2 linked regions of the Notamacropus eugenii genome follow. The protein of the gene in region 1 purifies or fractionates together with the protein of each later gene. This does not show direct contact. Links are inferred from orthologs where the notes say so. Each region holds a gene or a part of one and is shown on either strand. Other genes may lie near its edges.

Evidence for each region. The genes of interacting proteins can lie anywhere in the genome.
Region 2: the proteins of tumor necrosis factor receptor superfamily member 10A-like (region 1) and CFLAR purify together in Homo sapiens (affinity purification with western blotting; 5 studies listed by BioGRID and IntAct, with this or other methods). This does not show direct contact. The link is inferred for Notamacropus eugenii from reciprocal best matches to the Homo sapiens genes TNFRSF10A and CFLAR.

What each region holds. Positions count from the first base shown.
Region 1 is NC_092872.1:611,393,769-611,401,855, reverse strand, and holds the start of tumor necrosis factor receptor superfamily member 10A-like, read right to left. Parts: upstream 3,097-8,087; 5' UTR 2,939-3,096; coding exon 2,879-2,938; intron 1-2,878. UniProt on the Homo sapiens protein: Receptor for the cytotoxic ligand TNFSF10/TRAIL. The adapter molecule FADD recruits caspase-8 to the activated receptor.
Region 2 is NC_092877.1:297,264,535-297,271,982, forward strand, and holds the start of CFLAR (CASP8 and FADD-like apoptosis regulator), read left to right. Parts: upstream 1-4,428; 5' UTR 4,429-4,896; intron 4,897-7,448. UniProt on the Homo sapiens protein: Apoptosis regulator protein which may function as a crucial link between cell survival and cell death pathways in mammalian cells. Acts as an inhibitor of TNFRSF6 mediated apoptosis.

The DNA.
Region 1 (8,087 bases):
ATCAACATGCTGCAAAGGAGCAGCTCACATTAGCACTTTACAGTTAATTAACAGAAGAGTCTGCTTACCTGCGGCTTTAAAAACCTTTTGTTCTGAGATGGCAGGATCACAGATTTAGATTTGGAAGGGACCTTTGACACTATGTGGTTCAATGCCCTCATTTTACAAAGCAGGAAACTCCAGGAAGGTTGAGTCACTTACCCAAGGTCACCCAGGCAGTAACTTTCAAAGATGGAATTTGAATTCTACTTTTTAACTAACTTGATTCCCTTCCCGAACTCATTAATGGAATCCAGCCCAATTGTTCTATAGACACTCACAAAGGGGACCTTTTGGGTCTTCAAAATGAGACATAATTGAATCACTGATTGTAAAATAAACTAAATTCTTTGAAGGCATGGATCCTTTTTGATTCTGTTCTGTTTTTATTATGTTGCCTTCCTGGGAACCTCTAAACAAGACCACTAAATGGATTTGATTGTGGATGGTGGTAGAGATGATGATGGTGGTGGTGGTGGTGATGATGATGATAAAGCTAATAATAATAATAGCTGAAATATGTGTATCAATCTAAGGTTTCCAAGGTACTCTGCATCCATTATCTCCTTTGAAACTCATATCAACCCAGAGAGAGGCATCATGGCTTAGTGGATGGAGATCTGTAGGGCTACCTCTCATTTATGCTGACTGTGTAATACTAGGAAAACCCTCCTTTCTCCCCAACTTTCCTATTTATTGTCAAGGCCATGTCTATCCCCCCAGCTACCCAGGATCAACCAAGACTCCTCACTTTCCCACAGGCCCCCATATCTAATCTCTTTTCATTTCTCTCTTTGCACCAACATATGTTCCATTCTCTCTATTCACACAGCCATCATCCTAGTTCAGATCCTTCTCACCTCTCCCCTGGAGCTACTACAGCAGTCTTCTAATGGGTCTGTCTGCTTCAAGTCTTTCTGAATTCTATCCATCCTCCACTCAGCTCTCAAAGTGATTTTCCTCAATTGAATGTCAGGGGAAAGGGGAAGCATTTATTAAATGCCTATTTTGTGCCAGGCACTACACTTTTAAATACTTTCATTTGATAGTTAGAACAACCTAGGAAGTAGGTGCTATTATTATCCCCATTTTACAACTGAGGAAACAGAGGCAAACAGAGGTTAAGTGACTTGCCTAGGATCCACTGTGTCACCTAGTTGCCTCAGTAGCTAAAGATTATATCCAGGATAAAATATATATTTGGGATGTAAAGCCCTTCAGAATCTGGTCCCTTCCTACCTTTCTATTCTTCTTACACTTTTCTCCCCTTCACACATTCTCCTAATTTCTATTCCTAGAATATGCCATCTCTCAACTCTCTGCCTTTGAACCAGCACCAGTCGGTTTTTTGTCTCCAGCTCCTAGCTTCCCAGGCTTCCTTCAAGAGTGCTCAAACCTCCACTTCTTCAGAATGCCTTTCCCAATCACTGCTGCTGCTAGTGCTTTTCTTCTCAGAGGTTTTTCTGTCCTTGGTATTGTTCAGTTGTTTTCAGTCGTGTCTGACTCTTTGTGACTGCATTTGGGGTTTTCTTGGCAAAAGTTCTGGAGTGGTTTGCCATTTCCTTCTCCAGCTCATTTTATAGATGAGGAAACCAAGGCAAACAGGGTTAAGGGAATTCCCGACCGTGACGCAGCCAGTAAGTATCTGAGGCCAGATCTGAAGTCCTGATTTCTATCCAACTCACTGCACCACCTAGCTGCCCTCCTTCTCATATTACCTTCATAAAGTGTCCTTTGTGTAAAGGTACACATACATATAAATTCTTTATCTATACACAATTATTTACATTGTTTCCCCTGTTAGAAAGGGAGCTCCTTGAATGCAGAGACAGCATCCCCCAGGATTTAGCACAGTGACTGGCTTTCAGTAAGCACTTAATAAAAGCCTGTTGGTTAATTTCAGAGGTGCTGATCTTCAATGATAAAAGAAATTCCTCAGAAGTAATTTTATAAATTTTTAAATAAATTTTATATCAGAAACCACAGGTCCAGTAAAAGAATAACAGTAACAAAAAATAATTCTTTAAAGTAGGTCCAGGTATTATTATCCCCATTTTAGAGGAGGAAATTGTGGCTCACCAATTTTAAAGACACAGTTATTAAAGTGTCAGGGATCATGATTTAAATCCAGGTCTTGTTGGCTCCAAATCTGGCCCCTTTATCTCTCCCCTGGCACAGCAAGTGTTCCGTTCAGCACTCGGAGCAGAACACACTGCCATTTTGCGGTCGGTGCACATGTCCTAGTCTTCGCAGGAATCTTTTTTTTTTTCACCCAATGAGTCATTCTTCTGTGAAAGAGACTATGAAAATCCTGGGGCACTTTCACCCTCCCTCATCTGCTGTGAAATGAAAAGCGGCGGGCATAAGGAAGTAGGTATGAGGTGGGGGATGGGAAGCGCGGAAGAGTTAGGAGAGTGAGTGAAGATGCTCTGAAATCTCAGCTAGAAATTGGGGAGCCGATGACTTCCTCAAAAATCCCCTAAAGGAAACACCTAAGGGGAGCACCCTTCCCACTAGAGAATCCAAGATCTCGGGCTGTAGGCTTCACCCTTTCATTTGTCCAGACCGACTCCAAACCCAGCGGTCTTTTCATGAAGCTCTCCTCCACGTCTCTGCCCGGAGTCACGAGGCTGGCAACCCTCCCGGCCCCATGCTGCCCACCACGGCGCAAGGTTTTCGGTCCCATTGCCTACGTCACCAGCCTCCCGGGCGAGCCCAGCGCGCGTTATGCCTAGACTTGCCCTCCGCCCAGTTTACAGATTCCGACGGTCCTTCTCCCACGCGCGTCCCGCGAGGGCAGAACAAGGAAGGGAAGAGGGGGATGGATTAATTGACTTACCAGACACAGGAAAGTGAGATCCTTCCAAGGACGGCATAGCGTAGCCGTGGCGTCGCTCATCCCCCTAGGATCAAACTTTCCCAGGGGCTCCCAGTCCGACCACGTTCTATTCCGTGCAAGTGAGGACCCGCTCGTGCTGTGCTGTGCTGGGCAGGGCAGGGCAGTCCGCGTCCGGCTGGACTCAGATGCGCCAAAGTAAACCTCTCGCCTCTAGGGATCAACTTCGGGTGCGAGTCCGACTCTAACTTAAGTACGTTACAACATAAGCCACGCCCGAAGTAGGAGGTGTCTGAGTGGGAAGAAGAAGGAGGATCAGGTAGGCTGAGAAATTCTCGGAAATTTCGTAGAAGAGCAGAGTTTCAGTTTTACTTTTTATTTTTTTTTTTTAACTACGATCTCTATATTTATCAGGAATCTCTTATAGACAAAGTGTCTCTTTCAATAATAATGGTCAGCATTTATATATCACTATAAGGTTTGCAAAGCAATTTACAAATTTTACTTCATTTTTTCCCCTTACAGTAACACATTGTGAGTAAGTACGTAAGGCTGGATTTGAGCTCTTATCTTCCCGACGCTAGGTCCAGAGCTCTATCTTTTGTGCACCTAGACACATCCTCTTCCACTATGAGCTGAGAAAGCATTGTCACACAGGGCTTGGAGCCAGAAGACCTCACAGGAATTTGAGTTCGTACTTTTCCATTTATCAGTAATGTTATCTGGAATAATTTTATGCCTATCAATTTCCATATCCACAAAATATGTTTAATATTACCTCTACTAACTACCTTACGGGGAGATTATGAGGATGAAAGGAGATCCTAGGATCACAGATCTAGAGCTCAAAGTGACTTCAAAGTCCAACTCCCTTATTTTAGAAGTAGAGAAATCCAAGGCACACGGAGATTCAGTGAAGGGTCCAAGGCCAGAAGCTGGATATGAACCTAGCTCTTTTGGCACCAGAGCCAAAGTTACTCTGATTTAACTAAGCTGACCCCTCAATAAGACATGTCAAAACACTCTGCAATTATAAAGTTCTGTACAAACATAAGATCATTAATTCACCAATCCTGTCATGAAATTGGCAGTATTAGGCTGTAAAGCAAGATTTTGTTGCCTAAATTCTGAAGGAGGTACAGTTTTACTTTCTATGCTCAGGTCCTCCTGACTGCTCCACTGGTGCTTTATCCACTGCAACTCCTAGACATTTGACATTCACTAGCTGTGTGACCTTGGGCAAGTCACAATCCCAATTGCCTCATCCTGGGTCATCTCTAGTCATCCTGATGAATATTTGGTCACTGGATTCAGATGGCTCTGGAGGAGAAGTGAGACTGGTGACCTGCACAGCCCTCCCTCACTCAAAAGCAAAGTCAAGTGCAAGTCCTGTCATTATTTCTCTGATGGCATGGTCTTCTTTGGCAAGGAAGGATGAACACACACTTTCTGAGACAAGAGGCAAATTAGCCAAAGGGTTTAAAATCTGACCTGTGGGAGATACTCGATCCAGGGTGGAGTGCAGGGATTTGAAACCTTGAAGTATTTATGCTTACAAAATGTTTGTCGTATATAGGGAGTGTGCAATGTGAAGAAAACAAAGCCAAGAAAACAGCACACGATTGGTATCCTTCTTTCTCAAGGAGGACCAAAATGATATCACTATGTTGGAATCAAGATGTGTCTGACTGGCAGATCAGACCAATAGGAGCTTGAAAGAGCCTTGGAAGACTCTACTACATGTCAGGCACAAATAGTTTTAAGTGGAGATGGAATAGAAATGTTTCTAAATTTGTGCATCTCACATTTCCTTTGAACTACTGCAATTCTTTGCTCATAGAGCACAGCACTGACATTTGTGTCAGACTCCTAATTCTTACAATAGATTCCAGAGTTCTTCTTGAGAATGTCCTTGTATCACTTCTTCTGACCTCCATGTGAGCACTTGTTTTGTGTGAGTTTTCCATAAAATAGTCATTTAAGCAAACTTACATTTGGCATTCAAACAACATGGCCAACCCATTGGAGTTGCACTCCTTACAGTAGGACTTGAATGATTGGCAGTTCAGCTCCAGAAAGGACCTCATTGTCTTGGTAATATCTTGCCAGGTGATCTTCAGAATCTTCCTAAGAAAATTCAAATGAAAATGATTCCATTTCCTGGCGCAGGGCTGGTAGACTGTCCAGGTTTCACAGGCATATAATAATGAAGTCAGCCCAATAGCTCTGTAGACCTTCAGTTTGGTAGGCAGCCTAATATCTCTTCTCTCCCACACTTGTCTTCTGAGCCTCCCAAACACTGAGCTAGCTCTGGCAATGCATGTGTCAATCTCTTCATCTATGTGGAGCCACATGTATGTGGACATCCCTAAAAAGTATACTGCTAAGTGAACTTATCTACAGCATTCAAAATTTCTCCATTTGCTGTTGGTTCCCTATTTGAATGGAGCAGTGCTGACTGGTAGACCACCTGTGTTTCCTTGGTGTTAATTGTTAGGCCAAAATTAGCACAAGCAACAGAGAATCTGCCAGGCCTAGAGGCCTGAGGGCTACCCGAGTCTTACCTTACCTATTGCAGGTCTTCTGCTGGCCAAACCGGATAAACGTATGAGAGAAGAGACTTTCCAGAGTCGAACAAGGGTTAGGCTTTATTCAGGGTCTTGGTTACATGTGCAGGGGGAACTCTTCCTTAGGAGAGAGGGAAATCTCCCAAGGAGGCAAAGATCTTACAGTAAGAGAATGAAAGCAGAAGTTTAAGTGGGGAGAGAGGGGAGAGGGAAGAAAGAAGAGAGGAGAGAAGGAAGAGGGGCCTCCTGTCCTCTAAGGGCCCCTCAGCGCTAAGAGCCTTCAGGCTTTCCTGACCCTACTTAAGTTCTCCGGCCGCATAGTTTACACCTGATATACCGTGCCTGTTAGACAACAATAGGTGTGCTCAGATCCGGGGGATGCTCTCTCCCAGCGTTTCCCACAGGAAGAGGCGGAAATGCACGAGATAGCTCGGTCTCACACCTCAATTCCCTGCTGTTCCCTGGGGGGCCTCATGAGAACTCTAGGGTTTAGAAGTCCTCACTTTTACCTGCCCGAGACTGTCCACATGGAACTGAGTTTACACCCCCAACAAGAATCAATCCATACTTGGTTGCATTTCAGCCTCAGAGGCTGCATTCAGTGCACAATCATGTGCAAACAAAAAGTCGCACACCAATGATTCCTTCTCTTTAGTCTTGACTTGTACCCTTTTCAAGTTAAGTAATTTATCATCAGTGTGGTAGCTGGTCTTTATGGAATTTTTGCCCTAATTGAAGGCATTTGACAACATCACTGAAAACATCATGCTAAAAAGTATGGGAGCATATACACAGCCCTGCTTCACTTCATTGGTGACCAGGAAAGCATGAGAGCATTATCCATTATTCAGAAACTGTGCAAACATGCAGTCATAGAACTGAATTACAATACCGATGAACTCTGAACTCGTCCAGGCACCAAATTTTGCCATAATCTTTCACAAGCCCTCATGACTGACTGTATCAAAGACCTTGGTCAGATTGACAACTGTTGTATACAGTTCCTTGTTCTGCTCCCCATTTGTCCTGCAGTTGTCAGGCAGCAAACACCTGAAGCCACATTGGCTCTCTGGTAGGTAACCATCTTCCAGGTGAAGGATCAGTCTATTAAGGACGACTCTAGTAAGAATCTTGCTGACAATAACTAAGAGAGAGAACTCCCTAGGATTGTCACAGGACTACCTATTTCCTTTTCCTTTATGGAGATGAACAATAGAGGCACTGAACTCCTTGAACTCCTGGGAGATAGCCTCCTCTTGCCATATAACCTGCAAGATTTCAGTCAGCTTTTCTTTCATCAGTGGACTCCTTGCCTTATGCATCTCATTTGGAATAGGATCAGCACCAGATAATCTATTAAATGCCAATATTTGATCCAAAGATGCATCCATGAAGCTTTATTATGTTTAGGTACATGGAATAATGTTGATGATGAGATGGTCATGAGATGCATAAGTCTTCAATAGTAAGTGACCACTGCAGTTGCTGTGTCCAGCTCCATTCTTCCCAAGGACTCCCTGCCATGTCTGGTATTCTCAGCCTACTCTAGCATTACAGTCACCCAGGATTATAAGCTTGTATTCTTTTGGCACATTGATGATGAGGGTCTTTAGGTCTTCATAAAATTCTTCTTTGATCACATAAGGGTTCATCGCAGTGGAACCATATACACTGATGAAGGTGGTATGGCACTTTCTTGCAAATGGCAATCACATTGTCATGAGCCTGTTGTTTACTCCTTTTGGGATGCATACAAGCTTATTGACTAGATTGCATTAGATTAGATTAGATTTGATACTGAAACCTATGCCACCTCCACTATGGCCACTCCAGAAAAACATGAATCTGGCTCCAACTTGGATAAGCTAGCCTTCATTTGCCAGATTTGTTTCACTCAGGGCTACTTTTTGGCTATGATACTGCTCAATTCTCTCACAACAAGACATGTTTGTCTTTCAGGTCTACTGGATTTCATATTTTCTGTAAGTTTGCATACATTTCATGCACCAATAGTACATGGAATCATTTTTGTAAAAGTGTGTGTGTGTGTGTGTGTGTGTGTGTATGTGTGTGTGTGTCAACCACAGGGTGGGATCGCCACCTGACTTAGTAAGTATGTCTTCTTCATGCCAGGAGTTGAGTGAGCAGTGTAGTCCTTAGAAAAGGCTGCTCAGACATCCAGTGAGCTGCCAAATCCCACTGCTGCTTCAGTCCAGTGGCATGATAACCCTTTAGCCTGGGCCACCTATATGCAGGGCAATGACTACAGGGCCCAGTGTATCTACACCTGCTGCATCATCACTTGCTTGTTACCACAAGACTTTGAGGCAGGTAAAAATGATATGAATGATATCTTTTGACTTGGCAGAGATATTCGATTTAAGTGAAGCAGAATTGTACCAAATCATTGGTCTCTTTCTTCCAGAGTCATCAGAATACAGTGGTAAGACAAAAGTCAATATAACTAGTGATGGCTTGGGATGCAATGGATTACCTTGGTATCTTCAATGTCTAACCAAAGTCTAAGTGGTCCACATTCCCTGCTTCCACTACTGTCATGGCCCATTGGAACAAATTGTTCACACCTGTCTATTCCACTAGAGAAGTCTTCACATACTTGGAGTAGACAACCCCCTAATTCACTG
Region 2 (7,448 bases), on another chromosome or scaffold:
CAGGATGAGGGGACAGTGAATTCAAGTGTAATAACAGCTGACATTTATATAACATTCATTATGTGCCAGGCACTGTACTGAGTACTTCTACAATTATTATCTAATTTAATCCTCACAAAAACCCTGGGAGGTAGGTGCTATTATTATCCTCACTTTACAGGTGATGAAACTGAGGCGAACAGAAGTTAAGTGACTTGCTCAGGGTCACACAGCTAGTAAATGTCTGGTAAGTCTAAGGCAGGATTTGAATTCACTTGGCTTTAGACCCAGCACTCTACTCACTGATAGTAAAGACTGATAGTCTCTACCCCCTGCCTCTCACCATAAACAAGGAGAACAGGAAAGAACAGAGGAATCAGAGATCAGAGTTAGAATGAAAAATGGGGGTGGAGGGTGGGAATGAAACAGAAAAATAGAGGATGGGAAATGATGAACGGAAAGGAGGATTTCAGAGTTCAAGGTCATAGTGGTGAAATATAAGGTATGACCACTCATTCCTATGGGTTAATGAGGTGGAATAAAGATCTAAGTCATAGGCATTGAGGTATTATGAACAGGGAAGCCATGATGCTGGTAAAGTCCCACCCTGCCATTCAAATTCTTTATCTTTGTCCCTTACATGACATAGGTGGGGACATTTTCCATATGATAGTCACATGCATAGTTGTATGCAACTATGGGGGTTGCCTCTCTAGCAAAACATAAGTTGGAGAGTTGAAGGACGCTGCCTTCTAGTGAGTGGAGTTACTGACCAGTACCACATTCTTGAAAAGAAGAGGATTGTACATGTGGAGCCCTCCGCAGAGAAGGAGTACAGCTATTATGTTGTTCAATCATTGTGTCTGACTCTTCACAACCCCCTTTAGGGCTTTCTTGGCAGAGATACTGGAGTGGTTTGCCATTTCTTTCTCCAGCTCATTTTGTAGATGAGGAAACTGAGGCAAACAGGGTTAAGTGACTTGCCCAGGGTCACACAACTGGTAAGTGTCTGAGGCCAGATTTGGACTCAGGAAGATGATGTCTTCCTAACTCTAGTCACTGCACTCTATCCATTTCATCATTTAGCTGCTCAAAGCTATTATATGGGAGAAGCAAAAGACTTTGCTCTTACGGAGTCAGGAAGACTTGAGTTAAAATCTAGCTTCAGATATGAATACATGACTTTGGACAAGACACTTAACCTCTTTGATCCATAGTCTCCTCATCTGTAAAATGGTGATAATAGCGCCTACCCCTCAGTGTTGGTATGGGGATAAAGTGAGGTTATATTTCTAAAGCCCAGAGAAGTTCATCAGCATTGTATGTCAATTTCACGATGGCATCCTGGTCCGGGTTCTAGATAATGGACAATGCTCTCTTGCCTTCCCAGTCATCAGTGGAGTGAAACAAGGCTGTGTGTTTGCTCCCATGATTTTTAGCATGATGTTTTCAGCCATGTGGTCAAATGCTTTCAATGAGGATGAACATGGCATCAAGGTCAGCTACCACACTGATGGTAAGTTTTTCAATTTGAAAAGGCTACAAGCCAAGACCAAAGTAGAGGGAGTGTTGGTACATGATTTTCTGTTTGTGGATGATTGTGCACTCAATGAAGCCTCTGAAGTAAGATGCAACAAAGTATGGATCAATTCTCTGATGCTGATGCTAATTTTTGCCTAACAATTAACACCAAGAAAACACAGGTGCTCCATCAGCCACCATCACACCATCCATACATGGAACCATTGGCTACAGCAAATGGAGAAGTTTTGAATGCTGTGGATAAGTTCACTTGCCTTGGTAGTGTACTTTCCAGGGATGTATACATTGACAAGGAGGTTGATGCATGCATTGCTGGCGCTAGCTGGGTGTTTGGGAGGCTCCGAAGAAAAGTTTGGGAGAAAAGAGCGATTAGACTGACTACCAAACTGAAGGTCTACAGAGTTGTTGTGCTGACCTCATTGTTGTATGCCTGTGAAACATGGACAGTCTACTAGTGCCATGCCAGGAAACTGAATCACTTCCATTTGAACTGTCTTAGGAAGATTCTGAGGATCACCTGGAAGGATAAGGTACCAGACACTGAAGTCCTTGCTCAAGCTGAACTGTCAAGCATTCAAGTTATGCTTCAGAGAGCAGAACTCCAATGGCCTGGCCACATTGTTTGAATGCAAAATGTACACTTGCCAAAAAAACTGTTTTATGTAGGACTCACACAGGGTAAGCATTCACATGGTGGTCAGAAGAAATGCAAGGTCACACTCAAGGTCTCTCTTAAGAACTTTGGAATTGATTGTATGACTTGGGAGTTGCTGGCACAGGACTACTCAGTATGGCATGCCTACATCAGAGTAGGTGTTGGGCTCTGAACAAAGCAGAATTGAAACAGCTCAAAGGAAACTCAGGATGTACATATTTAGCATCTCCACCTCAAATGTTCATACCGACCATTTGTGCCTGACCTGTGGTAGAGCATTCTGAGATCATATTGGTCTGATCAACCACAGCTGGACACACTGAAACCTGACTCTAGCACAGTGATGTCATTTGGGTCCTCTTTGAGAAGGAAGGTCAACAACAACCATTTCTAAAGCACTTTTGCAAACTGTAAAGAATTATATAAATGTTATTATTTAGTTATGAAGACAGTGCAGATTCAGTAGGAAGGAGAAGGCTTACTTATCTTTTCTAGAGAAGTCTAAATCCTTAGAGACTTGAGCCTTTAGCTGCTCCAAATTCATTTCCCCTCCAGGAGGCAGTCCAAACCACAGACTGATGCCAGAAGTCCAGACAATTGCACATAGGCCATAGGGGGAAAGGTGGAACTCATTGGGAAAAAAAAGAGGAAACAAATCAACTGTTTATGGGCTATTATGAATTCTTTATGTTGTTTTGTACATTCTGTAGGATGGAATAAAGGTTATGTTCCTATGGGATCTGGAAACCTTTTTACTCACATCTGTGTAAACTTATCAATGAGTTGTTTGAGCCATATAATAATAATAGTTAACATTTATGGAGAGCTTGCTTCCTATGCCTTTTTCATAATCAAGGAAGAAGTCAAATTGTGCTGGCCAAATGAAGCAATATCCTGTTTTAACACTGCCCAGCCTCACCAGTGTACTCATGAGTACATTTTCCCAAAATACTGTCTCCCTTTGATTTAGTCACACTTCTGCTTTAATAATGACATGTGGGGAGGGGGAGGGTGTGCTAAACTTTGGCAAACATTTTGGCAAATGTAAGAAGAATCGATATGGGTCTTCTGTTCCTCAAACTAGTGATTTCAGGGTAGGATCACAGGCTCATTATAGCATCATAACAGCACACATTTCTTTAGTACTTTATATATATTGCTCATTGGAGACTTCCTATAACTTCTTTGAAGTAGGTGTTACTATCCTCACTTTTCAGGTGAGCATACTAAGGTTCATTGTTGTTAAGGGTCCAGGATTACACAGCTGGTAAGGATCTGAGGTAGGAAAGAGTCAAACCTAAGTCTTGGATCATAGATTTACAACTGGAAAGGACCTCAGAAACCATCTAATGTAGTCCTCACACACACACACACACACACACACACACACACACACACACACACACACACACACACACACACACACACACACACGGAAAGGAAAGCCCAGAGAAGTAAAGCAACTTGCCCAAAGTCAAACAAGTAGGAAAAGCAGTATTGGAAATAAATTCATTTGAGACTTCAAATAACGACGGTTAAATAGGCCCACATTGCCACATTTCCATTGTTATGGCTCAACACAAAATAGCTTTAACAATACAAAATAAAGAAAGAAAAAGACCCTTTTCATCAACTTGAAGAGGAAAAAAAGGTTAAAAATGGAAAAAAAATTGACCCTTCACAACAAAAGCTTTCCATTAGATCCCAGGTTGAAGGGTGAGAGTGGGTGGGGTATGAAAATGGGGATTAATAATGAGACAGCTCTGCAGGCTTTGCTCATGCATAGATCATTACTTTAGAGTCGGGAAGGAACCCCAAAGACTGTCTAGTCCTCCCCCTCATTTTACAGACAAGAACAAGCAAGGTTAAATGACTCATCTATTAGTCAGAGGTCAGACAGGAATTTGAGCAAAGGTCCTGATTTCACTACCAACCCTGCCCCCTCTGCCCTAGAGTCAGCCCTTTGCTCTTTAACTAGAATGTAGGGGAGAGCAAGTAAGCATGGATCATGCCTGAACCATAAAGGTATCGATGTTTCACGTTACTAGTAGTACTTAGGGCTTCAGGTTATTCCTCTACAAAATGAGCAAAACCTTATAAGCTGCTATGTTCACAGGATCCCAGATTTAGAACTGCAAGGAACCTGAAAGAACGAGTTCAATCTCTTCTTTTTACAGATGGGGAAACTGAGGCCCAGAGGTACCTGCCCAAGGTCAGACATGGAGTAAGCTACACAGAGGTATGTTAAACCTCTAAATGACTCTTCCAGCTCGAAATCCCTATGACTTTAAAAAAAAATTTTTTTATTGATGTCTTTTGAGTTAACATAGAGTAAATTTCCCCCGATTCCTGTAACTTCGAACTAGCTACACTAATTATTAAAACCTAATCACAAGAGACCCCGATTTTGAACTCCAGCAATGGGAGAACTACTGCTGGGCGTGGACAAAACCCTAGATCCGTCACCTCCGAGTCCTCAAGCCTGGGGTTGGTCCTGCCCTCCAGTGCTTGGGCGTGCGGGATAGGAGCTCTTGCCCCGGTGCTAAGTTCGGGATCGTAAGCGGCAAACTGGGTAAAATTCTTGTAAGAAGCTGCAGTCCAAGTTCTGAGGAGTGGGCGCAGTGGGCACTCTGTTGGGCTCACTGTTGGTCAGATAGCTCACTGGTCAGAACCTCACTTTCACTTTAGGATTCTGGAGCTCCGGAGCCGCAGTTTTGAGGGTGAGTTACTTACTCCTACCACCCTTGCCCCTTTTTCTTTAATTTTCCTTTCCTTAATGCTGTGAACATGTCTACTTCTGATCTGTCTTTTAAAGGGGTTTAGGGAGGGGAGGGAGGGCTGCTGGCAGACGGTTCTTATCTGAATCATAGGTGGGTTATTGTGTGTTTGTGTTTAAATCATCATTTTGCCTGACCTTTCCTTGGCAGTGGTCCCAGACCAGCTGCTGGCTGGATCTGGAAGGAAGCACAGACTAGAGACCTGGAAAGAAACGAGACATGGCATCCTTCTCTTGGGAGGTACTGAGGATTTCTTGTCCCGAGAGAAGGAGGAACCCTTTTTTCTGTCCTGATCTTTGTGTCCTTTTTAGACCCACTGAAACTGGGGTTGCCACTCAGTTTACGCCGATCAGAAACTTTAATTTGTTTAACACTGAAACAAGTGGCTAGCACGCAGGAGTCTGTGAAATTCGGCAGTTTCCGTTTCTCACTTTAAATAGTCCTAGAAGAGGCAAGACGTTGGTGTGGTTGTTTTTCCTTCTATTTGAAGAGGACCTTGACTTCCGGGGAATGGGATATCCTAACTTGCAAGTGAATTGGATTTAAAAGAGGCAGGGCTGAACTGTGCCTACGTGGTTTCATTTTCCAAGGACTGCTTATTTTTGAAGTTTTACCCCTCCCTCAAAAGGAAAGGTTTATGTGTAAAGGGAGGAGACTGAGTTTATTTGTGTCCAAGGACTATTCTTTATTGTTTCACAATTGTGTTTCTCAAGGTAGGCATTTTGACAGGGTGTGCCGGTTCATGTTTGCTGAGTGTTCCAAGTTGATCAGTCTGTTTTTCTCTTCAGAGTAAAACATCACAAAGTTGTTACTTTAAAGCTTCCAAGTAATTTTAGTGTTACAGGACTGATAGCTGGAAGGGATCATTAGATCCCTGAGAGATCATTCTGTCTAGTCCAACTCTCCCCAGTCCCTTTTTTTTTTTTACAGATTAGGAAACTGAGTCCTAGAGAGGTTTCCAGGAAGCCTCTAGGGAAGGGAGCTGAAACTTGGGTGACCCTAAACAGGTCCCTTGGCCTTGGGCCTCATTTTATTTATAAAGTGGGGACAATAGTCCCCTTAGGATCCACCTTAAAGATTTGTGAGGAGTGTGCATTTTGTTTGGTTTTTTAAAAATGTATAGTTTGTTTTTTACACTAACAGCCTTTACAACTATAACTTTGTACACCTCTCTCTCCCTCCCCAACCCAATATGCACCTCTCAGAGAGCCATTCCTTATAACAAGAATGGGGAAAGAAGTTCAGCAAAACTAAGCAATATATGGAAAAAGTCTGATGTTATTCTACACAGTGTTCCATACCAGGGTGTCTTCCACCTCTGCAAAGAAGGGAGGGTGCATTTTCTAGTCTCTTCTACAGGCTAAACTTGGTTATTATAATTTCAGGTTGTTTTTTTTTTTTCAGGAGAAAATCATTCTTTTTATAAAACTGAGTTTTTACTTTTTTTTCCTATTTCTCACATTATCATGATATTTCACGTATTCCACCCTATACCCCTTCCTGAAAGCCATCTCATGTGACAAATAGTATTTTTTAAATAGGAAGAAAAGTCAGCAAAACTGTTGTTCAGTCATGTCTGATTCTTCATGACCCCATTTGGGGTTTTCTTGTCAAAGAAAGAGTACTTTGCTATTTCCTTCTCCAACTCATTTTATGGGTGAGGAAACTGGCAAACAGGGTTAAGTGACCTGCCCAGGGTCACACAACTACTAATTATCTGAGGCCATGCTATGATGAGTCTTCCTGATTCCAGGCCTGGGACTGTGACACATACCTGCCCTAGCAAAATTGATGGATAGATTCAAAACGGTCTGAAGAAAATATGTGCAATGTGTAAACCTTCTACCTGCTCAAAGGTGTAGGGTGGAGGTGTCTGCTGCTGTCTCTTCATTTGAGTTCTTTTTGATCTTTATAATTTTGTTACATTTGCTTTTGATTTTCTAGTATGTTTTCAGTGTACATTGTTGTAGCTGTTGTATGCATTGTTTCCTTGGCTCTGCTTACTTCAATCTGCATCATTTCATATAGATCTTTCCTTGCTTCTGTGTATTCATCATACGCATAATTTTTTACAGCACAGCAATAGTTCATTACATTCATGTACCACAATTTGTTTGGCCATTCTCTGATTGATAAGTATCCACTTTGATTTGAATTCTTAGTTATCATAAAAAAAAGTGTTGCTATAAATATTTTGGAGTATAGACAGTTCTCACTTTAGGTAAATGGCAATTTTTACATAATACAAATTTCCCCCCTCTTCCTATGGGGAAGAGAGAAAGACAGGAAGAAGGGGCAAGCACAGGTTTCAGGAGAAGTGAGAGCAAGAGGACGAACAGATGGGGACAGAAACTGAGAGCCACACATAGACTCAGATAGGAGTGGTTGGCAACAGGGGCCAGGAGACAGGGCAACACAGACTGGGACAGATGGGGTACCTCAGCCAGACTGATGAAGATTGATGTGTAGCAGGGCAAAGGTTTCCTCTCTGGTCA